4 linked regions of the Saccharomyces cerevisiae S288C genome follow. The gene in region 4 interacts genetically with the main gene of each other region. Each region holds a gene or a part of one and is shown on either strand. Other genes may lie near its edges. The genes, in order: HXT8, TCM62, TIM11 and GLR1.

Evidence for each region.
Region 1: mutations in GLR1 (region 4) and HXT8 together harm fitness more than expected from each alone (negative genetic interaction), as found in Saccharomyces cerevisiae (one large-scale study listed by BioGRID).
Region 2: mutations in GLR1 (region 4) and TCM62 together harm fitness less than expected from each alone (positive genetic interaction), as found in Saccharomyces cerevisiae (one large-scale study listed by BioGRID).
Region 3: mutations in GLR1 (region 4) and TIM11 together harm fitness more than expected from each alone (negative genetic interaction), as found in Saccharomyces cerevisiae (one large-scale study listed by BioGRID).

Annotation. Positions count from the first base shown.
Region 1 is NC_001142.9:23,813-30,096, forward strand, and holds HXT8 (hexose transporter HXT8), read left to right. Parts: upstream 1-3,074; coding exon 3,075-4,784; downstream 4,785-6,284. Other genes in the region: oligo-1,6-glucosidase IMA5, read right to left, coding at 529-2,274. UniProt on the Saccharomyces cerevisiae protein: Probable glucose transporter.
Region 2 is NC_001134.8:322,438-328,837, reverse strand, and holds TCM62 (Tcm62p), read left to right. Parts: upstream 1-2,778; coding exon 2,779-4,497; downstream 4,498-6,400. Other genes in the region: protein phosphatase regulator GIP1, read left to right, coding at 1-665; QDR3 (Qdr3p), read left to right, coding at 4,893-6,400. UniProt on the Saccharomyces cerevisiae protein: Chaperone. Required for the assembly of succinate dehydrogenase subunits. Ensures mitochondrial gene expression at elevated temperatures and prevents heat-aggregation of the ribosomal subunit VAR1.
Region 3 is NC_001136.10:1,110,412-1,115,173, forward strand, and holds TIM11 (F1F0 ATP synthase subunit e), read right to left. Parts: upstream 1,883-4,762; coding exon 1,592-1,882; downstream 1-1,591. Other genes in the region: mitochondrial 54S ribosomal protein mL38 MRPL35, read left to right, coding at 178-1,281; PEP7 (phosphatidylinositol-3-phosphate binding protein), read right to left, coding at 2,069-3,616; small subunit rRNA maturation protein UTP4, read right to left, coding at 4,022-4,762. UniProt on the Saccharomyces cerevisiae protein: Mitochondrial membrane ATP synthase (F(1)F(0) ATP synthase or Complex V) produces ATP from ADP in the presence of a proton gradient across the membrane which is generated by electron transport complexes of the respiratory chain.
Region 4 is NC_001148.4:372,745-378,719, reverse strand, and holds GLR1 (glutathione-disulfide reductase GLR1), read right to left. Parts: upstream 3,219-5,975; coding exon 1,767-3,218; downstream 1-1,766. Other genes in the region: 40S ribosomal protein eS6 RPS6A, read left to right, coding at 325-330, 725-1,429; SSU1 (Ssu1p), read right to left, coding at 3,551-4,927; putative GTPase NOG1, read right to left, coding at 5,799-5,975. UniProt on the Saccharomyces cerevisiae protein: Catalyzes the reduction of glutathione disulfide (GSSG) to reduced glutathione (GSH). Constitutes the major mechanism to maintain a high GSH:GSSG ratio in the cytosol.

The sequences.
Region 1 (6,284 bases), on a different chromosome or scaffold from region 4:
ACTATGCTTTTTAAAATTTTGTTTATACTCAATTTCGTCAAGATTTTTTTTACTAGTACAATCCATACAGTTAACAAAATACTGGGCAATAAGGCGTGCATACTACGAAATTTTTAGTTTTGTTATAATAAACGACTTTTAGCTAGTGTTTTAAGATAAAGTGACGAAAGTTAGGGTGAGAATAGTCGAATGTATTTACTAATTATTGAATTCGTGGTAATTAGTACTTATGATGATGGGGTTTAAAGGGCTAAATTTAGACAATAGAAACAGTAATAATGATGTTTTCTATTTTTCTGCTGTACGTTGCTTTTTATTTTATATTTCTTCGGAAAAAGGTTCAGTGAATTTTCTGTCTTCTATATACATATATAAATTGCAATTGAAAATAGCGTACAGCGTAAGTTAAGTATCCAATGCTCACATATGAAAAGCAAAAGTAAAAAGAAATATACAAGTTTATTATTCATAAATATCGGCATAACTATTTGTTTCGAAAGATCAGTACGTTTATGTTAAATGTGCTCGTTACTTCAACAAGTAAAGTCTTCCTTCCCATGGCTGCAAGGTGCGGGAATCACCATTTGAGTTTGCATAGTTGCCAAAAAACATGGTGTAGGAGGCCTCATTATCAGGAACTGAAAAGTCCGTATTATCGCTACTGAAATTGAAAACAGCAAACATTTTTTTGTTATCTGTGTCCTTTGTAAACATGAATAGCTTGTCATTATCAAGATCAATGAACTGAAAGTTATGTCCATAAACAAGGATATCTTTGTGCTCCTTTCTAACTTGTAAGGCCTTTTTCCAGAAAAAGAAGACTGAGTTTTTATCTTTTAACTCAGCTTCTGCGTTGATTCCGTCTCTAAATGATTCATTCATGTCAATCCATGGTTTGGCATCCTTCGAGAAACCTGCAGAAGGCTCATCAGCACTCCATGGGAATGGTGTTCTCCCATGATCTCTAGAGATCAAAGCTAATGCTTCAAAAAACTTTTTCATCTTTTCAGAATCTTCACCATAATCACGTTTAATGGCGGCATATGTACCAGTACCTTCAACGCATTTGATTTGCTCAATTTTTCTGTTTTTGAAGTTGGGCATACCCAATTCTTGTCCTTGGTAGATAAAAACAGTACCAGTCAATGAAATGATGAGAGTAGCCAACATCTTGGACGAAATCTCACGCCATTTAGGAGAATCTGAGCCAAAACGCGAAACGCTACGAGGTTGATCATGATTCTCCAAATAGATGGTCGACCAGCAATCTGTGTTTTCGATAAACAGAAAGCTTTCAGCAAGAGCCAGCTTAAAGTCTTTTAAAGTAAAGGGAATAAGTTCGTACTTGCATTTTGGGTTTTCACCTACTGAGGTGTGCTTGAAGTTGAACATCATATTTAGTTCTCCTTCTTTGGCACTGGTATAAACTCTGAAGTCGTCTTCATTCCCGATACCAACTTCTCCAACAGTCATGATTTCTTTACCCTCTGGAACTTGCGAGAGCATGTAGTTATGCATTTCTTTATGATACTCATGGATACGTGGCCCATTTATGAAAAATTCAGTTCCTTTTTGGTAAGGAACTGTAGGATCAGTGATAGGAGCATCGGGTAGGCCCTCAACCTTAGAATACATGCTGCCTACGTCAATACGAAAGCCATCAACGTTGTGACGTAGCCAATAGCCCACTGAGGAGTCATAAATGGCTTTACGGCACTCTTCATTTTCCCAATTGAAATCAGGTTGGCCAAGAGCAAACACATGCAGAAAGAACTCACCAGTTTTTTCGTCATATCTCCAAGCAGATCCACCAAAGAAAGATCTCCAATTGTTGGGAGGAATTGGATTACCTTTCTCATCGTAACCCTTTGGAGGTCTCCAGAAAAACCAGTCACGCTTTGGATTAGCCTTAGAAGATCTACTCTCCTTGAACCATTCATGCTCTTCAGAACAGTGGTTGATAACCAGGTCAACAATAACCTTGATACCTCTCTTATGAGCTTCTTCTATCATTTGGAAACAATCCTCATTGGTACCGTAACGTGGCCAAACCTTCTCATAGTTGGCAATATCGTAACCCATATCTTCTTGAGGAGAGTCATAAAATGGGCACACCCATATCGCATCGACACCTAATTCTTTGACATAGTCAAGTTTGGAGGTAATCCCAGCTAAATCACCCCATCCGTCATTGTTGGAGTCCTTGAAACTAGCAGGATAAATTTGGTAGACGGTGGCTTCTTTCCACCATTTAGGATTATGGATGATCGTCATGTTTTTCTTTTCAATATTGAGCACTTTCTATATAGTCATCAAGAAACAGTAGTTTTTCGCACCAAGATATGTGAACAAGTGTCCTAATTTATAATTCGTCAGACGTTTATGAACTTACTCCTCAAAACCGTATCAATTACCGTAGCGGTAATGGAAGATACAATTCTTAAGTGTGAATTACTTTTTCCGGTGAATTAGCTTCTAGGATTGTGACTATTTCAATGGACAATGTTGCAAATAGTTTCAAATATTCCCGTGTTTCTCCGAGGATTCTCCACGGAGGAAAAATAATGCAAAGTTTATTTCCCCGTTTTCTTTTCTCCGTCTAGGCATTTACGCTTTCACGCAACTTTATTATATCACCTCCGCGGGGATTCAACAACGAGGTATGTGGAGAAGGAGAGAAATTCCAGAGAAAGCAGCCTAGAGCATCCTGCTGCAGCAACTTATAAACGTATCTCACAGAAAAGGCCGGAGAAAGTTCTTGAAATGTGTAATTTAGCCTACCTGCCAAGCGGCTGGAATTATCCCGAGAATAATTCCGCGACCGGGCCTGTTCCTGAACTCTAAGAAGTTTTGGAATTTCCGAACGCTTCTTCGCATGAAAGACATGAACTCTTAAGTAAAATAATATGAACTGGCATGGTCGTAATCTTTTGGACGACGGAATATCATCGCTAACCATTGTAAGGGATGAAGCTTGACTAGATATATTTAAACGACCATTTTTGTTTCATTCTTATTTTAGATTGCATTTTTTATAAGTCACTTTTAGTTAGCTCAGAACGCCAGCAAAAACCATGACTGATCGTAAAACCAACTTGCCAGAAGAACCGATTTTCGAAGAGGCAGAAGATGATGGCTGCCCTTCGATAGAAAATTCTTCACATCTGTCAGTACCTACAGTGGAGGAAAACAAGGACTTTTCCGAGTATAATGGGGAAGAGGCAGAGGAAGTTGTTGTTCCAGAAAAGCCTGCTTCAGCCTATGCTACTGTTTCTATCATGTGTTTATGTATGGCTTTCGGTGGATTTATGTCCGGTTGGGACACAGGTACGATTTCTGGTTTCGTCAATCAGACTGATTTTTTAAGAAGATTTGGTAATTATAGCCATTCCAAGAACACTTACTACTTATCTAATGTGAGAACTGGGTTGATTGTGTCCATCTTCAATGTGGGAAGCGCCATTGGCTGTCTTTTCTTGTCTAAATTGGGTGATATTTACGGCCGCTGCATGGGTTTGATTATAGTTATTGTCGTTTATATGGTTGGTATTGTCATTCAAATTGCCTCTATAGATAAGTGGTATCAGTATTTTATTGGAAGAATTATCGCTGGTATAGGTGCTGGTTCCATTAGTGTTCTTGCCCCGATGCTTATTTCGGAAACTGCGCCAAAGCATATCAGAGGTACGTTGCTAGCTTGTTGGCAATTGATGGTGACTTTCGCAATTTTCTTGGGTTATTGTACCAATTATGGTACCAAGACTTACTCGAATTCTGTCCAGTGGCGTGTTCCGCTTGGTCTATGTTTTGCATGGGCTATTATTATGATTGGTGGTATGACGTTTGTTCCGGAATCTCCTCGGTTTTTGGTGCAAGTCGGTAAGATTGAGCAAGCTAAAGCTTCTTTTGCCAAGTCGAACAAGCTTAGTGTTGACGATCCTGCTGTGGTTGCAGAGATTGATCTTCTTGTTGCTGGTGTGGAGGCAGAAGAAGCAATGGGAACTGCTTCATGGAAGGAATTATTTTCGAGAAAGACTAAAGTTTTTCAACGTTTAACGATGACAGTCATGATTAACTCTCTGCAGCAACTAACCGGTGACAACTATTTCTTCTACTACGGTACTACTATCTTCAAATCTGTCGGTATGAATGACTCTTTTGAGACTTCAATTGTCTTGGGTATTGTGAATTTTGCTTCTTGCTTCTTTTCACTTTATTCTGTTGATAAGTTGGGCCGTCGTAGATGTCTTTTACTTGGAGCAGCCACCATGACGGCGTGCATGGTTATTTACGCCTCCGTTGGCGTCACAAGACTATATCCGAACGGTAAAAGTGAACCATCATCTAAAGGTGCTGGTAATTGTACGATTGTTTTCACGTGTTTTTACATTTTCTGCTTTTCCTGCACCTGGGGACCTGTATGTTATGTGATTATTTCTGAAACATTTCCATTAAGGGTGAGATCCAAGTGTATGTCCGTTGCAACAGCGGCCAACTTATTGTGGGGGTTCCTAATCGGGTTTTTCACTCCTTTTATTACTTCGGCAATTAATTTCTACTACGGTTACGTTTTCATGGGTTGCTTAGCGTTTTCATATTTTTACGTCTTTTTCTTTGTTCCAGAAACAAAAGGTCTAACTTTAGAAGAAGTTGATGAGATGTGGATGGACGGTGTATTACCTTGGAAATCTGAATCCTGGGTACCAGCTTCTAGAAGGGATGGTGATTATGATAACGAAAAATTACAGCATGACGAGAAACCCTTCTACAAAAGAATGTTTTAGACCGGTGAAAACACACGCAAGCAAACTTCAAAGTACATTGATAAATAATGTCCAATGCCCTCTGTAATATAGGGGCTTTTTAATTCCTAAGACTGATTCGATATATTAAACACCAGGGCTACTGAAGACTGACAGTCACGTTGAGTCCTATTATATCATTTTACTCACAGAAGATTTGGTAATATGATACTTAGATGGGCTTAACAACAAAGTGTTTTCTTGATGTTACTGCCCATGAAAAAAAGCAAATCAAATTAGTAGGCGGATTGTTAACTTTGTTTATTTTGAAACCCGTCAGGACTACCAAAATATAACAAAGTATTGATTATCGTCAACGCTTTATAGATCACTTTTTTTTTTTTTTGAGGAACCGATTAATTAATACATCGTAGCCTCTGCTTATTGCATAACACAACAAAAAAATACAATAATACGCAACTTTTGTTTATAGAAAAATAAAAATGGAACATATGATATTCTCTGTTCGTCATATGATAACTTAAGCACTTTCGTGTGTACATAGGTATTCTAGTGCATTGGAATGAGATCAATTATGATTTCCTAACCCAGAATTTATATTACTAATGATTTCAGAATTAATAAAAGCTGAAATAAAAGGAGTAGCAATGTAATAGGAAATAAACGAGGGCACATAGAAAGGAAGAAGAAAAATTACATTATGTGGAATTATTGATTCCCTTGGCAATTTCCCATAGTCTCATGAAAATTCCTGGCCTATTCTGTATTCATAATTCCATACTCTTTTTTAACAATGAAACTCCGGTAATTACCACAATATTTACTTATATCTCAATACGAACGCATGTTCTCTTCGAGGAAGACCAGCATTAGCGCTAAGCGCTAAGCGATGAGTTGACTTAATTTTTAAAAGGACGATGTTGGCGCGTTAGTGCATAAGAAAGTCAGCAAATCCCTTTAAGCTGAAAACCTTGATATATTTCTCGGCCTTTAATAATGGCGCAACTGATTTTAATTATCTTTGAATGGCTTATCTGTAACGAACATGTGTTACTAAACTAGTAGTAAGTTAGAAATACTGTTTATCCAGAATATGTAAGTTGGTGCTTCTAAAGTAATATAAGACCGCTTTAATTTGTTGTAACCTCTGAAATACAGGTAACCGCTGGGTCATCTCCTATCTAACTTTTGGTAAAAATGACATCGAAAAGAACAATTTTCGAAATATTCAATTTGTTCGGGTGTCGGTTTAATGCTCAAGGCCCCAATATTTCATAATAGGATTCTAAGAATTGCAGAAAATTCAGCTATGTTTCACCCATTTTGTTATTGGTGAAAACCGCCAAATCGATATCGATATAGTCACATTTTAGAGCGTGCCGATAGTCTCTAAACTTACACGAACGTCATTATTTGTAAGTAGACAACTGGGAATTTTAAAAAAGGTTGAGAAGATTCGTTTTATAAAATATGACGTCGTAAAAGAAGAAAGTGACAATACTGTTGCTGCGGGTTAAAAAA
Region 2 (6,400 bases), on a different chromosome or scaffold from region 4:
TTTCAAAAGTTGGTAAAGCTGATTTAAGCCAAGATAACTTAACGCATTTGATCAAAAGTCATCAAAAAAAGAAAAGATGCGTGAATTTTAGAAATAAAAGATTCTATGATGCTTTCAATCCATATGTTGATAACGAAGAAGATGCAGAGTTATCTGACAGCGAAAACATTTCAGAAATGGATACAGATCTTTGTATAAAGGATCGGAGTACCTCAAGTGTTAGGTTTGATGAAAACTCACGTCTTTTAATCTACAAAAAATCTAAAAAGTTAAACAAAGATGAGACTCAAAGTGGTTATTCGACTACTGAAATGAGGTCAATTCTAAAGACAAAGATGAATTCACAGCATGATGAGGAGTCTCAGAGAGCTTCGAAGTGTGACACAGTAGGTGTAGCCCAATTTTTACATTATTTTCAATATACAGAGTATAAAAGGCAGAGAAATGAAGCAGAAAATTATAGACTGAGAGGAGAGCAACTAAGCAAGTACTATTCTGAAGAATATCCTTTGGATTTTGCGGCTGTTGAATGCGAAGATTCCGTTAATGATAAATCTGATATCATACTTAGTATGAGAGCTACGGAAAGAAACATTGGTAGGCAACTGAAAGGTATAAGTAGTCAAGGGGCACAAATTATATCGCTTGATGAGGATGTTTTTTGAGCGAAAAAACAACACTTAACTGCCAATACTCTGTAAAATTGTTTTCACTTTACATCAATACATTATCTACGTGATTATACATATAGTTATGCATTTGTAGCTAAGAGGGAATCAACTACTGATAGTTAGTATTCAGTGAATAACATAAAAAAGCATTAGCATACAAAGATAATACGCCTGTGCAATTTTTTGCCTATCAAATGCGCCTTTCTAGACAAGATATTTGGTTGAATATGGGTCAGCTATCTTCTATCTGTCGTTACCATATCAGTTTAAGACTACATTGTTAATATTGCTGGAATAGGATTATAAGCGGCGTTGGAATCGACCGCACAAACTACTTGGCTATTTATATATGATTCAAAATTCAGCACCTGATTTAGTAAAGGCAGAACTTTGACGATTGGTAATGTGTTAGAAAAATGTTCTGCAATGTTATATAGAATACGGCTTTCTTTATGTGAATTTTGATATATTGGTGGATTTTGTCATAATTTTTGGGATTTCGTTGTTGTTAAGGTTATAACATTAGGAATAGAGAATATGATAAAGGTTCTTCCCCAGGATACAAAAATTTACAAAAGAGATTGATACTTTTACGTAATAAGGCTACTATTTCTTTCTCCATTTTATATATTGTCACCCATTGTCCTACTATATTTTATTTCAGCTTCCCAAACATCTGATGACTGTTTTTCAATCTTTATATCATCTTTTTTACACTGTATATGATAACATATAATAATATGACTACTGGTAGACAGATGAAGGTTGATTTTGAGATATTGGTGAATTTTGAGGTAATTCTTGGGGTTTTTATTGATTAAGGCTATAATATTATGTATGCAGAATATACTAGAAGTTCTCCTCGAGGATATAGGAATCCTCGAATGGAATCGATACTTCTACATAATAATATTACGATTATTCCTCATTCCGTTTTAAATGTTTCATTATCATATTACATTATCAATCTTTGCATTTCAGCTTCCTTTAACTTCAATGGCAGTTTTTTCATAGCTTATGTCATCATCTAACATCGTATATGATAATACCAGTAGTATAACTATAGTTGATGGACGATAGTTGATTTCCATTCCAACAGATTCTTATTCCAACAACTTTAATATTATCTTCTTGATGTAGTTGCACATAATATAGAAATACTTCGTAGGGAATTAGCATCCCCTCAACTTACAAAACATTCATTGAATTTACCAGTTATAGGGCATGCGTAATGCTTTTAGATGAGATATCCAATGTATACAACTAACCGATATCCAAAAATGACATAGTATCGAGTTCCGGGTCCAATGGTCCAGTGGTTCAAGACGTCGCCTTTACACGGCGAAGATCCCGAGTTCGAACCTCGGTTGGATCAAACTCTTTATTTTTTTAAATTTGCTACTTTAGGTTCGTAGAAAGTCTCTAGGAATGAAATTATATCTTCTGCGTTCGAAAAGAGTAGCTTTAGTTGAAGAAGTTTTGATTTGAAGTGCATTAATGTCTTCCGCTATCTGTGGGAGTGAAGGCATCATTAGAGATAGATCTCAGTGATACCTAATAATACAAGAAGTAGAAATAAAAAATGTGCCCCTAAAAGTACTACCAAGGTATCCGAATTGATTCCTTACGCAGACCTCCCCTATCACAAAATTGAGATGAGGAAGTAGCCAACCTGGTCCTATAAACGTTTAAGGGCAATACGACCGAGTTTTCATTTATTCATTTATATGAATTGCTCTGTCGTGTTTCTCTCTCGGTTCCAGCAGTAAATTTAATGAATCCCCCAAACATTACGGAGCATTCATTACAGATCGGTGGCACCGTTGTATGGATGTATTGCCTTTTTGGAACAATACATCTACTTGCCGAACGTTATGTTTTAGATGGGTCCGCTTTTAATAGTTTAGGTAATTCTTATAGGATTGAAAATCTCGGTAACTAAAATCCGTTATGGCTTAAAAAAATGTAAAAAATAAAGGCCCTTTCTTCCATTCCCTGTGAAACAAAAGTTTCGATAGTGCGATAGTTTACCTTTTACGAGCTTTAACCTGGCGTTATTTTCTCCCACACTACTGTAAACATAAAACTCTCTTATGCTTTAACGAGTATGCTGAGGAATTGTTTGAGGAAATTGGGAAATCATCAAACGAAATGTTCGGTAAAAACGTTACACACCCCAATCTATAGAACAAAAAACCTTCAGGTTCTCAGAGATACGCTCTCTGGTATTAAGCTGTTGGAAAAAATAATAACTTCATCCTCCTACAATAAAACATTGATATATGAACCTAAGTATAAATCCAAGCCACAGGTCGTTAGTTCTCATGATACCATGAGACTTCACAATGTAATGCGTGAGTTACTAGATTCCCTACAAGTAGATGAAGCTACCAACACACGACTTCAATCAAACAGGCCTCGAAAGCTGGGGAGGGTTGGTCTACAATTATTCATGGATTGCATTCAGGACAACTTAACAGCAACTTCAACATCTTTGACATGCTCTTTACTGGAGCACTATTTCAAGTATCCCGAAAAAGAAGTGACCAATGGGATCAAGGCCGGATTACGATATATCAGAGATTTTCTTGCGAAGAACAAGATTATAGTGAAAAGTCAAAACGATGTTGATGCTCTGGTCGAGCAATTGACTATGTCCTCCTCAGACAGCCAAAGCATCAAAAGGGTTTTGAAAGCCATTAATTATGAATTGTTTTCGGATGACATTGTGCGGGTCATAAACGGCAACAAAACTTACGATGAGGTTGATGTATCCAAGGGTTGGAAATATCCAGCTGGTATTTTAGATAGTAATGAAGCCTATTTAAGGTCCCTGGAGTTGCCTACTAAGAAATTAGTTTCCATTGATAAAGATATGCTAGTTCTTATGTATGATGGGACGTTACGAGACGCTAATAAAATTCTACCCACGATAACGTATGCAAGAAAGTTGAGAAAATCTGTTCTCTTAATCGTTAACGGAGATTGCACAGGTGATGCATTAACATCCGTTACAATTAACAATAACAGAAACAAGAGAGAAAATAATGAAAGCCGAATAGTGGTTTTGAAGTACTCTAAAAAGGCGAACAATGACTTAGCGCCACAGGAGAATCTTGATTTTATAAAGTTCTTACGGTTGCCTTGCGGATATGACAGCATCTACTCACCAGAATATAGTCCTTTAGTGCCAAGCAAAATGTGTGCGGATAAATATTACGGCAGTATCGAATCCATAAAAGCGACCACAGGGGAGGCATTCTTATATAACTCCATTGATGCTGAAGCGATTCCAAATAAAGTTCCGAAATCCTTCCTCCAAAATACGGTCACTTTAAGCATTGGTGGACATAACGAAATCGAAATCGACAGAAGAAGAAATGCAATAGATAATTGCTTAAATAACGTCCTATGTCATGGGCTGGCCAAAGGTTTCATCCCAGGTTACGGCATCTCCCTACTGAAGGCAATTCCAGGTTTGAATGAACTGAAAGCAAATGAACCCAATTTCATGACTAAGGTAGGCATCAATGCTGTTTTATCAGCAGTTATTCTCCCATCAGAAGTGGCGTTTAAGAATGCATATGGGTACAACTATTATGAGATCAATAGCCTGATAGCAGGCGCTATAAACGAAAAATCGTTTCCAATGGCCAAGTTTTCTCCAAATTCAGAACCGGTGAACACAGTAAAGGATGGAAACTTGGAGCCATGGAGCAAAATGGATTCTTGTTTAGCCGGTGTAGAAACGTTCATTGAATTACTTACAAGCTGTAATACAATTATCACATGTGTATACAAAAAGCCTGAACGGCACAAAGCCTAGATAAAGCCCTTACATACTTTTAAATAGTCAGAATGAGTCATTGTAAATAGATATTGCCACGGCGCTGCCTTTTATCACTTTTACCTCTTCGTAAATATCTATTATTCCTGCTCAATTTCTCATATGCGGCTTCGGAAAAACTCGGGTTTTTCCACGCCTCAGCAGTAACTCCATCTACCTTTGGGGATTTGAACCATCTCATTCCAGTTTTGGATAACTGCGATTAGATTAAAATATTAAAAGATTATCGATTAGATAAGATAGAAACCAACAAAATTTGTTGTAATAGCTGTGTCCTTGTATCCTTAAAAGAAAACAGGGTTGAAGGCATATGTATTCACATCTTTCTAACTTGTTAACGTCTATGCTAGGACCGAAGTCAGAAAGCGATAAACATGCAAGCCCAAGGTTCACAATCGAATGTAGGGTCTTTGAGGAGTAATTGCTCTGACAATTCACTACCGAACAATCATGTTATGATGCACTGCGATGAAAGCAGCGGCAGCCCGCACAGCGAGCACAACGATTATAGTTACGAAAAGACCAATCTGGAAAGTACGGCATCAAATAGTCGTGAACACAGAGACAACCAGCTAAGTAGGTTGAAGAGTGAGGAATACGTTGTTCCAAAGAATCAACGTAGGGGACTATTGCCTCAACTCGCCATTATACCGGAGTTCAAGGATGCCAGAGATTATCCACCGATGATGAAAAAGATGATTGTCTTCTTGATTGCGTTTTCCTCCATGATGGGCCCCATGGGCACATCTATCATTTTTCCAGCGATCAACTCAATCACAACAGAATTTAAAACATCAGTGATTATGGTAAACGTTTCAATTGGTGTGTACCTTTTAAGTCTTGGTGTTTTCCCATTGTGGTGGTCTTCTCTATCCGAGCTAGAGGGCAGAAGAACTACTTACATAACTTCATTTGCATTATTGTTTGCATTTAATATCGGGTCTGCTCTAGCTCCTGATATCAACTCATTTATTGCCTTGAGAATGCTCTGTGGGGCTGCTTCTGCCAGTGTTCAAAGTGTAGGTGCTGGAACAGTGGCTGATTTATATATTAGCGAAGATAGAGGTAAAAATTTGAGTTATTACTATTTGGGTCCACTACTGGCGCCGCTACTATCTCCAATTTTTGGATCTTTGTTAGTGAATCGCTGGCCCTGGAGATCCACTCAATGGTTTATGGTTATTTTATCCGGATGTAATGTCATTCTTTTGACGGTGTTACTACCTGAAACATTAAGAAAACAAGATTCTAAAGGCGCTATCGCTCAAATTTTGGCTGAAAGACGTATTCAAGTAGACAATAACGAACGTGGAGAGATACAAGAAGATTATCAGAGGGGAGAAGATGAGACAGATCGAATTGAAAACCAAGTTGCCACATTATCTACTGAGAAGCATAACTACGTTGGAGAGGTAAGGGATCAAGACTCGCTAGATTTAGAAAGTCACTCTAGCCCCAATACTTATGATGGTCGAGCTGGAGAAACCCAATTGCAACGGATTTATACAGAGGCGAGTAGAAGTCTGTATGAATATCAGCTAGATGATAGCGGTATCGATGCAACAACAGCACAAGTTACGAGAATAAGATCAACAGATCCAAAGTTAGCGAGATCGATTCGAGAAAATAGTCTGAGAAAATTACAAACCAACCTGGAAGAGCAAGTCAAAAAAGTGCTATCCAGTAATGGAGGTGAAATCGCTCCTAAACAGGTATCAGCGGTGAGGAAGGTCTGGGACACCTTTTTTGTTTATTTTATCAAGCCTTTAAAATCATTGCACTTCCTAGAATATCCACCCGTGGCACTTGCAATAACATTTTCCGCAATTTCCTTTTCCACAGTATACTTTGTTAATATGACAGTTGAATATAAATATTCAAG
Region 3 (4,762 bases), on a different chromosome or scaffold from region 4:
ATTCCTTTTTTTATTTTCTTATGTGTTTGGGATTTACTGTCGCAGTCTTTTCAAATTTTCCGGGCTAAACCGGAAGCCGGAAGGTCTGGGATAAGACAACAGTATCCAATACAATATCAGACTACAGCAAAAAGCTTATTCAGAGATCTTTACAGAAATCAAGGTCACTGCCGAACTATGTTACGAAGATCTATTCATACCACTAAAATCCTCCAAAAACCTAATGCTACTTCGCATATTTGGTCGGACTTTACCACAAGGCCTAGTTCACTTTCTATCCAATCTTCAAAAGTGAAAAATTACCTTTTCCAGAAGAAAGCTTCTCTAGACCCACCATCTATCAGCAGAAGAAGTAACCGTATCAAATATTCACCTCCAGAACACATTGATGAGATTTTCAGGATGAGTTATGATTTTCTTGAGCAAAGATCCAGTAAGTTTTATGAGTTGGCCAATAAGACTAAAAATCCCTTGAAGAAGGATGCACTTCTCATAAAAGCAGAGATCAATAATCCTGAGGTACAATACAATTTTCAGTTTAATAACAAGTTGAACAATGTTAAGGATATAATAGATTATGATGTGCCAGTGTACAGACATTTGGGGAAACAACATTGGGAATCGTACGGCCAGATGTTATTGATGCAAAGGTTAGAAACGTTGGCTGCCATTCCTGATACTCTTCCAACTCTGGTTCCACGGGCAGAAGTGAATATCAAATTTCCCTTCTCTACTGGTGTAAATAAGTGGATCGAACCTGGTGAATTTCTATCGTCCAATGTCACATCCATGCGTCCCATTTTCAAAATTCAAGAATATGAACTTGTGAACGTTGAAAAACAATTGTATACGGTACTGATAGTCAATCCTGATGTTCCAGATTTGAGTAATGACTCATTTAAAACGGCTTTGTGTTACGGATTGGTGAATATTAATTTGACTTATAATGACAATTTAATAGATCCAAGAAAGTTCCACAGTTCTAATATTATCGCTGACTACTTACCTCCGGTACCTGAAAAGAATGCTGGAAAACAGAGATTCGTTGTTTGGGTATTCAGACAACCCTTAATCGAGGATAAGCAAGGTCCTAACATGTTAGAGATTGACCGAAAGGAACTAAGTAGAGATGATTTTGATATCAGGCAATTTACGAAGAAATACAATCTAACCGCTATTGGGGCACATATCTGGAGAAGCGAATGGGATGCCAAAGTCGCCGCCGTCAGAGAAAAATATGGCCTACCACCTGGAAGGGTTTTTAGCAGAGTTAGAAGGTGATCCTAAATAGTATGACATTATAGTATCCTGTACATATAAAATAACGTGTCATTGTTAATAAAGCTTGATGCAAATAATATAAAGTAAGAATCTGAAAAATTTTTGGAATGTGAATTTTGTTTACAATACGATACGTATGATATTAGTATGTTCTAGAATATATACATTTCATTTTTTTCCTTATTGTTTGTGCACTAACGAATGAAGAAAAAAATATGGAACATCTAGCGAACGAGAATCCATCATAACTTCGTCATTCAGTGCGAGCTAATGTGCATTTTTAGTATCCTATTTATGTTGAAGCTTCTATTTATGTTGAAGCTTCCTTCAGGGATTCAACGGCGTTAAGAATAACTCTTTCAAAATCTATATTAGGATCTTCCAAATTAAATGAGGCGTTCGCAGGCACATCTTTAGGAGTTACTACAGGGTGTAGCTTGGCGTATTCCTTCTTTGCCTCCTCTACCAGCTTCAATTTCTCCTCGTACTGTGCCTGCTCCTCTTTCTTCTTAGCATTACACTTCAAAATCATATCATTTCTAAAACCAAAAAATAGCCCCAAACCCAACGCAGAGTATCTCAAAACATTAACTGTCGACATCCTTTAACTCACTCAGCTAGTTCCTATATACGTTATGTTCCGATATAATACTTCCTTTTATCTAAAATTTCTGTGTGAAAAGTCAAAAAAACTAAAGAAAAATTTATACCCTTAAATAGATCTGATTGGCTCCGCGGACCAATTAGCGTGGAGATTCCGCGAATGATCGAATAATAAAGATATGTCTTAATTAAACCCATGGTCACCCAGCTTCGATTGAACGGTATGTATTCTTGAGTGCAATTCTTCTAAGTTCTTATTAAGTGTGACGATCTCCTCCAATCTACGCTGCTTCTTATAGTCCTGAATTGTGGACTCAATAAGGTAGCTTTGTTCCTTTAGGACCATCAATTCTTCTCTCAGCTCTTTCACTTCTTTTATGGTCAAGTTTTCGATCATTAGTTGCGATAATTTCTTTACCTCTGGTTCAGCTTTTTGCCCATCTTCATTCGTTTTATGGCCCTCTGGGTTCAAAATTGCCGGAAGCGACTTCAACGGTAGGATTTTTTCGTTTATGTATGCAGCGGAAGCTATCTTGATCGAATTTTGAAGTTGTCTCTCTAGATGACTTTGAGGTTCTACACTTAAGAGCTGTCTTGTTAGTGTATTATACAAGTTAAAAGAATTGAGTAATTTATGTCTTAATCGAGCGAGATCATTCAGATTCTTTGGATCAAGTGTATTTTCAGAATCCTTGGCAGTCTCCACCTTCAGGCTATTCAATGAGTCTTCAAAAATGGGCAGGAGACTATCAATTACTTTGGATATATTTTGCATGCTATCATATTTAGCAAATATTCCACTTAGCGGCATTCTAACGTCCTTGTTAAATTTCCTGCCAATAAATAGCATATCGATACAGTGCGAGCACAATCTTATGGATATAGGAATATGAAGTAAATCATCCTTCTGTATATTGTATTCGAATGGCAGATCTGACGCTGCAGACATTAAATAACCTATGCTTATTTCGTTTGAGCAGTTCCTGTTTGCATCATCACAAACAACCATACCACATAATCTGCAGTGATGCTTCCTTAGTAATAGCCCAAATGGTTCGGAACATATGTTACAAAAGAGTACACTTCTATCATCTCTCCATGGAGTAACTGTACGTTCTAACTTGGACATTTCACTATTCATCTTCAAATTATGAATAATGGATCTAGAATATGTGTTATAGAGTGTAATCAGACCATCAACTAGACGGACAAACCGATTTTCTAATTGTAATAGCCTTAAGTTTTTGTCCTCTCTTTTTATATTTCGTACCTTAAAGAATTCTGGTGTTAAATCTATTACTTCGCCATAATCGTTATAGCCAGGTTTTGTGACGAAACAATCATGGCAGCAATTGTACCATTTCCCGTTTCTGGGGTCATACTGTGCGGAAAGATTAAGTTTAATCATATTAGGAAGATGCCTTCTGCAATACAGTTTACCACATTTCCTACAATTAATGGCGCCAATATTGTTATTCAAAGTCCTTCCACATGTGTGACAGCAGCTCTTCCCTTTTTTGAATTTTTCCCAATGGCTTCTTTTCAACTTTTGCGCACTGCTATCAACAGATCTGGCCTTTTTTTGTTTACCATTGACTAAACGACTGTCATTGGAACCGAGTGAATCTTCATTATCGTTAAACCCATGCTCAACATCTAAATGTGCATTTAGTGCTTGTAAGTTATCAAACTTCCTTAGACAAATGGGACATGAAACATTTTCAAGATCCATAATAGATAAGTCGCCAGGAAATTCGGTGATATCCCTTTAAAAACCATGAGATCCGGCTTTGCTCTTTAGGTCGGTCAATTTAGCTACTGATCATATGTTTTCATTATTCTATTGTTTTCCCAAAGTATTACCCTGCCTGGAAATAACAGTGATAGCCAGAGTGATTCCATCGCCAGTACTTTTGTAATTCAGGAATACATTTATACCAATAAATGGCTCACATTTAATGTCTGCATACGTGATTACTACATATATATGTCTGCGTATGTGCTTGGCTATTTTACATTAGCGAGTTTCTATAAAGTACTAACGCCATTAGAGTTTTTTGTAACTGAAAAATGCCCTTAGAGTATGATAGCCTTTTAATAGCATCTCTCTATTCTTCGGTATGTTGACTTAAATTAATCAAAACACTAACTTTGGTTGAATAAACGCCTTTTGTTTGGAGTGAAAAGTTAATGGATTTCTTTCAATTATTGCCAATTCATTACTAGAAATTAAGTCAACAAACAGTAAAGGTTTATATTTATCAGTAAAGAAGAAGTGACCGGAGCTTTCTTCGTTTCTTTGTACATCTGTGGACTTTATTTTGTTTCCTTGGTTTAATAATACATTCAAGTTTTCGCTGATTTCCATATCAATATCGTCATCTTCGTCATCTTCCTCGTCGTTCATGAAATTACTTTCATCTGTGATAGTTAGCCCTTCGTGTGTACGTTTTTTCTGTTTTCTTCTCTTATTTATAGGGAAGTCAACATCAAAGTCTATTCTTGATATCCAAGTAGCCCCCCAAAACCATAATCTGCTACTATTTTCTATGTCTGAAAATATCCCTACACAGTTCTCTTTTAATGTCTTCCATTCTTTTGGTAAGTTATCCGTATTGTTTTTTGACCATTGAGTTAATACGCTTTCGCTATCTTCATTCTCGGCTTCCGAATTCAAATTCATATTGAATTCATAAATCTTATTGTCTGCAGTAATTACTACTACAGATTTTCTAGAAGTATTGATATGAACAGCGGTGATGAAATTATTCAAACGAGCAAGTGGTTTAGAAATCCTTGCTTTTAAGTCTAATATGTCTACGACTCCACAGCCACGAGAAATTACTGCAATGTTCTGGTCTACTTCCAAATGGTTGAT
Region 4 (5,975 bases):
CACTGGGGCCGTGCATTCTGTAGGCAGGAAGCCACTGGACACTCTGCCCGTTCCCACTTGGAAGATTGGCGTAATTCCACGCTCCTCTATCGATTCTAGCGGGAAAGTTATCTCTCCTGGTAAGCGTTGGAGGAATGCCGCTACCTAGGTAAGTCTACTGGGTGGGAATTCCAGTACCGACGTCTAGGAACATCATGATGCTGCAGTTTCTTTGAAATTTCATATACAGTGTTACCAAGGATAAAGTGGTTAATGCTTATTCGTCATTGAATTTTTATATTTGCTTAAGAGAAGTGACAAAAGAGTGAAGACAGACTATACATCATGAAGGTATGATTTATGATACTATTATTGAGGGGCAACAGAGAACTTTATATGTGGAAAAATGGCATGAAAGTTTGAAAGTGAGAAAGAACTAAACAGAACCAGACGTCGTAAAGATTTTAGAAATTTTTTATGGAAAGAAGCAGGAAGACTACCATATACTAATTGATGCGTTTGTGGCGTTATTTTTAAACAAACAGAGCGGGTTTACATATACTGTTACTACAAACCGTGAAATTGAAGCAGTTCATATACTTGGAGTATAGTCAATAAAAGACAAGCTTTTTCATCTTCCACTTAATAATTTCTCTAGAGTAATAAACTTCACCCTATTCAAACATTAATTTTGCAATAGTATACTAACAAATTTTCTTAATAACCTGTTGAAAATTTAAAATAGTTGAACATTTCTTACCCAGTTAACGGGTCTCAAAAGACCTTCGAAATTGATGATGAACACCGTATTCGTGTTTTCTTCGACAAGAGAATCGGTCAAGAAGTCGATGGTGAAGCCGTTGGTGACGAATTCAAGGGTTACGTCTTCAAGATCTCTGGTGGTAACGACAAACAAGGTTTCCCAATGAAGCAAGGTGTTTTGTTGCCAACTAGAATCAAGTTGTTGTTGACCAAGAACGTTTCTTGTTACAGACCAAGACGTGATGGTGAAAGAAAGAGAAAGTCCGTCAGAGGTGCCATTGTTGGTCCAGATTTGGCTGTCTTGGCTTTGGTCATTGTCAAGAAGGGTGAGCAAGAATTGGAAGGTCTAACTGACACTACTGTTCCAAAGAGATTGGGTCCAAAGAGAGCTAACAACATCAGAAAGTTCTTCGGTTTGTCCAAGGAAGATGACGTTCGTGATTTCGTCATCAGAAGAGAAGTCACCAAGGGTGAAAAGACTTACACCAAGGCTCCAAAGATCCAAAGATTGGTTACTCCTCAAAGATTGCAAAGAAAGAGACACCAAAGAGCTTTGAAGGTCAGAAACGCTCAAGCTCAAAGAGAAGCTGCTGCCGAATACGCTCAATTGTTGGCTAAGAGATTGTCTGAAAGAAAGGCTGAGAAGGCTGAAATCAGAAAGAGAAGAGCTTCTTCTTTGAAGGCTTAAAGTTAGAAAGCAGTAAAAGATAAATTCTTTTGTTCAAAAACTCCTTTCTTATTCTGTATTTTGTGTATTTTTAAGCTTAAAATCAAATAACTTTATTTTTTATATAATTAACAAAAAGAAAAATAATCATATGTATTGTAAACGAGAGTCGGAATGTATCCTCAACTGAATATCCAAGCGAGTCCACAGTAGCTAATAGTCTGAAAAAAAAAGGAACCCTTGTCCTTGAACAGAAATGACAAAATTACTACGTATTTCAGGATGCTATATAAGATTGTTTACAAGAGTACAAAAGTCCAGTATAGCAACAGCAGATTGGACGTCTAGTTTCGTTGCTTCATCTCATAGTAACCAATTCTTCTGCGCTAGTCGGATGAATAGCAACACAATTATCGAAATCAGCCTTAGTGGCACCCATCTTTATAGCAACACCGAACCCTTGCAAGATTTCTGCAGAGGAATCACCAACAATGTGCAGACCGACAACCTTTTCATTTGGTCCCGCACAAACAATTTTATATCTTGTGGGTGATTTCTCACTCAACATAGCATAGTACATGGCGGTAAATTTGGAATTGTAGACCTTTATATTCTCCTTACCGTACTTTTCAATGGCTTCCTTCTCAGAAATACCAATGGAACCGGCTTCAGGATGTGAGAAAATTACGCTGGGGACGTTCTCGTAATCTAGTTTGTCATTACGGAATTTCTCTGGACCAAACAGTCTATTAGACAGCTTTCTGCCCGCTGCAATAGCGACAGGTGTCAATTCAACTTTTCCAACAACGTCACCTAGAGAATAAATGTTTGGAACATTGGTGTTCTGATATTCATCAGCAATTATTTGGTCATGAGAGTTCAGCTTTATACCTACATTTTCTGAACCCATACCTAGATGGGATTTACGTCCAATTGTCCAAATTAATTCGTCAACGTCATCGATGGACTTTGAGTCATTCATATGTATTTTCAGTTTGTCAGTTTCTACATTTTTCTCCACCTTAACAATTTTGGATAGTTTATGAACGTTGATGCCTTCCTTTACGTAATGGTCAGTAATAGTGTTCTGGATGCATTCATCAAATTTTCTCAAGACAGTTTCACCTCTAATTACCAAGTGCGTTTCGGATCCCAGCCCATGGAACACACCTGCTAGCTCAATACCAATATAACCAGCGCCAACAACAACAACTTTCTTAGGTTGTTCTTCCAATCTAAAGAACCCATCAGAATCAGTACCTAATTCGAAACCTGGAATGTTTTCGGGGAAAATAGCCTTTCCACCGGTCGCAACTAAAATATGGTTAGCGGAGTAAACTTCAGTAGTATTATCCCTTTTCTGAACTTCAACATTACCGTCCTTATTGAATCTAGCCCATCCAAATACAACATCCACTTTTTCTTTTTCTAAATTCTTCTGGTATATACCGTTCAACCTATGGACATAAGCATCCCTTTTCTGCTTAAATTCTGGCCAATTAAAAGTCAAATGCTCTTTATCTAATGGAAGATTCTGATATAATCCATATTCATTTGCATGGGATACTCTAGTAGCGAGGTCAGAAGCATACCACATGACTTTCTTCGGAACACAACCCACGTTAACACAGGTACCACCAAGAGCCTTAGCTTCAACTAGTAATGTCTTCGCACCATAAGATGCAGCTCTTCTTGCGGAAGCAACACCCCCTGAGCCACCCCCGATGACGAGGTAATCGTAATGCTTGGTGTTCGTGGACATAGTTCTTATCTGTAGACTTCTAAATGTTTGTTTGGTTGCAGAAAGCATAAAGTTCTGTAAACTAATATGTAAATAGATATATATACATATGAAGGAAAGCAGCAAAATATACTGAGAGTGAGAAGCGCATGAGAAAAACCAGAAGTGTTTCTTATACTTTTTTAGACTGATTTTAATAGTAGATTCCAAATGGAAAGCTCCGAAATCCTCGAAAAATTGACAAGGGTCGTGCTTACTAAGTGACGTCAAAAAATATCAGGCATAGTGAAAACCAACGTGAAGAAGCAAAAGCAGCAAAGCGCCGTGCAAATGAATTAAACTATCTATTGAGACTCCTACATGAAATGCTTGCCAATTATGTACGTATAAAACCAACAATTTTATGCTAAACGCGTAAAATCTAGAGCCGAGTTTGATTCTTCCACGCTTTCAATGCTGTTATACGGAGAAACTGTCGTCTTTTCCGTACCTGACTCTGAAAATAATGAAGATTTACGGGCAGCATGCAGCATCTTTTTAGAATACTCATGCAATGTGCATAAAAGGCATAGAATTGACCAACAAACGCAAACACCGCCGTATATGGTTCCTAGGACTCTAAATGCATATAAGGGAACGTACTGGTTATACTGCACATATAACTCTTCGTTTCCTAAAGACATAGTACCCATCGGGAAAGTCATCCCCCAAAAACCTTTGTGGAAGGTATAAACTCTCTTCACTTTTCCTGTCTCGTTTTCAATCTCTTTTTTATTGTAGTACGACAGGATTGAAACGACAGAAATCACGGTGAAAAAATAGCCCATAGCGAGCAATGCCATAGCAGAAACCATGCCTAGAATTTTGAAACACCATGGAACTGCAATAGTCAATATCTCTTGTTCTCTTGTAATGTTATCTGTTGGGTAATATTTGCCCGCATATTTTTTTATATTATCTGTAAGCAATAAGACTCCAAAACTTCCTTGGCCCATCGGGCCCAAAAGCAGGAATAAGGTGAAAACCTGTGTCATTGGTGGTATCTTATTAATATAAAGACTCCAGAAGTATATCGCAATCAGTATGAAGACGAAGATAATGGCATGCAGCCACGTTAAGGCACATATGACCAACGTTATCAGTTGAATGTTTCTATTAAACGCATGGAAGAATATTTCTGACATTGTGAATGTTCCACAACTTGAAGCGACGACAACCAGCGGAATGATATCCAGTAGCAATACACTTTTCATGTTTTCGGATGCCATTTTGATATTATATGAAGGATAATTCCCAATCCCTTCCAAAGGGTAATAGTCATGCCAGATGAGAAACGAGATACCCCACGCTATTACTAGACAGACTGCGAGATCATACCACCACAAGACGTAAACAAATATCATCAAATTTCTGGCATTAGTGGGGCTCTTCGTCGTGTTCGCTTTCGAGAGTGCTCCTAAGAAATTTATAATTGTAACTAACCCCATGGGATAAGTACCCCAAAATAAATTGTGCTTCATATTTCTGAAAAAGTCATTAAAATATTCTCTGAAGCTTTTCTCCTTAATATAGACAATCAAATGTAATATTTGTAGTGCCTGCACAGCAATGAAAATAAGGCAAGCGATAGCAAACATGATGTAGGAGCATATTCTTAGCCACCTTGCAGGATATGGGAAGCTATATAGAATATTCGATGAAATGCCGACACCCATGACCATCATAAACATGAAGGGGTCAAACTGCCTCGTAAGAGCAAGTACCCAATTGGCAACCATTTTTTTCTTGTACTTGTCTTCTCTTACACTATAAAACGTTTTTAAATTGCGCGTATTGTCTGAGCTCAATCAACAATCGTTACTAGGGGAAAGCTGTAATTTGTGTGTTGTCTAAATGCGGAGAATTTGTTCAGCCAATATCACAAGTTTCAACTTAACAAGACAAGGATTAGAAATAAGAACTACACGCTGGTTGGCTATTCTTTTAGAACCTCTAGTTAAATAGGTAAAATAAGCAAAGTGAGCAAAAATAAGCAAAAGAAGTCAAAGACAACCCCAATGTGCCAAAGACGGCGATGAGTCTTCTGTTTTTTAAGATTCATGCACTCTCAGATTTTCGGCTACAGACGCGGCACAAGGATGAAAAAAAAAAAATGATAGTTTGCAGGAATTTATCAGTCAATTGATGGGAGACATCGCTATTGTTGCCTTATACGATACACTGCAAAAACGATAACAATTTCTTATTTGTCAACCTCGTGGGAGACTCGATAGGTTGCATGATGATGTGTCACAAAAAAGTAGAAGTGTCATCTTGACGCTATCCCACCCCTTCTTTTTCCACATGCTTAATTATTTGTATACATCCAGTGACATACAAAAAAATAGTAGAACATGGAGGGGTCGGCTTGTTGGATAATTTAAATCGGTTTATTATTATTATACAGATTAAATAAAATTTTTTTAAAAAAAAGATACAGAAAAAGTGAGAAAGAAAGAAAAAGAAACCACTAATAGTGAGAGAGATAATCAAATGTAAATGGTAATCCTACCAGCCCAAAAAGATTAGAATGTCGTGTACGTACATCCACATTTTATATTCATATTTTTTTTAAAGTACATGCAAAAGAAAGAATAAGAAGTAGAGAAATCAACGGAAATCTGTCTTACCGACACCACGCTTACCACTGAATAAATGCTTTGATAAGGAAACAGCATTGTGTCTATCAGATTCACCTTGCTTGGCATGTCTATTTCTTTCTCTTCTTTCCATCTTGGCCATCCTGTCGGCCTTGGATCTCATGGAGCCATCAGCAACACCATCCAA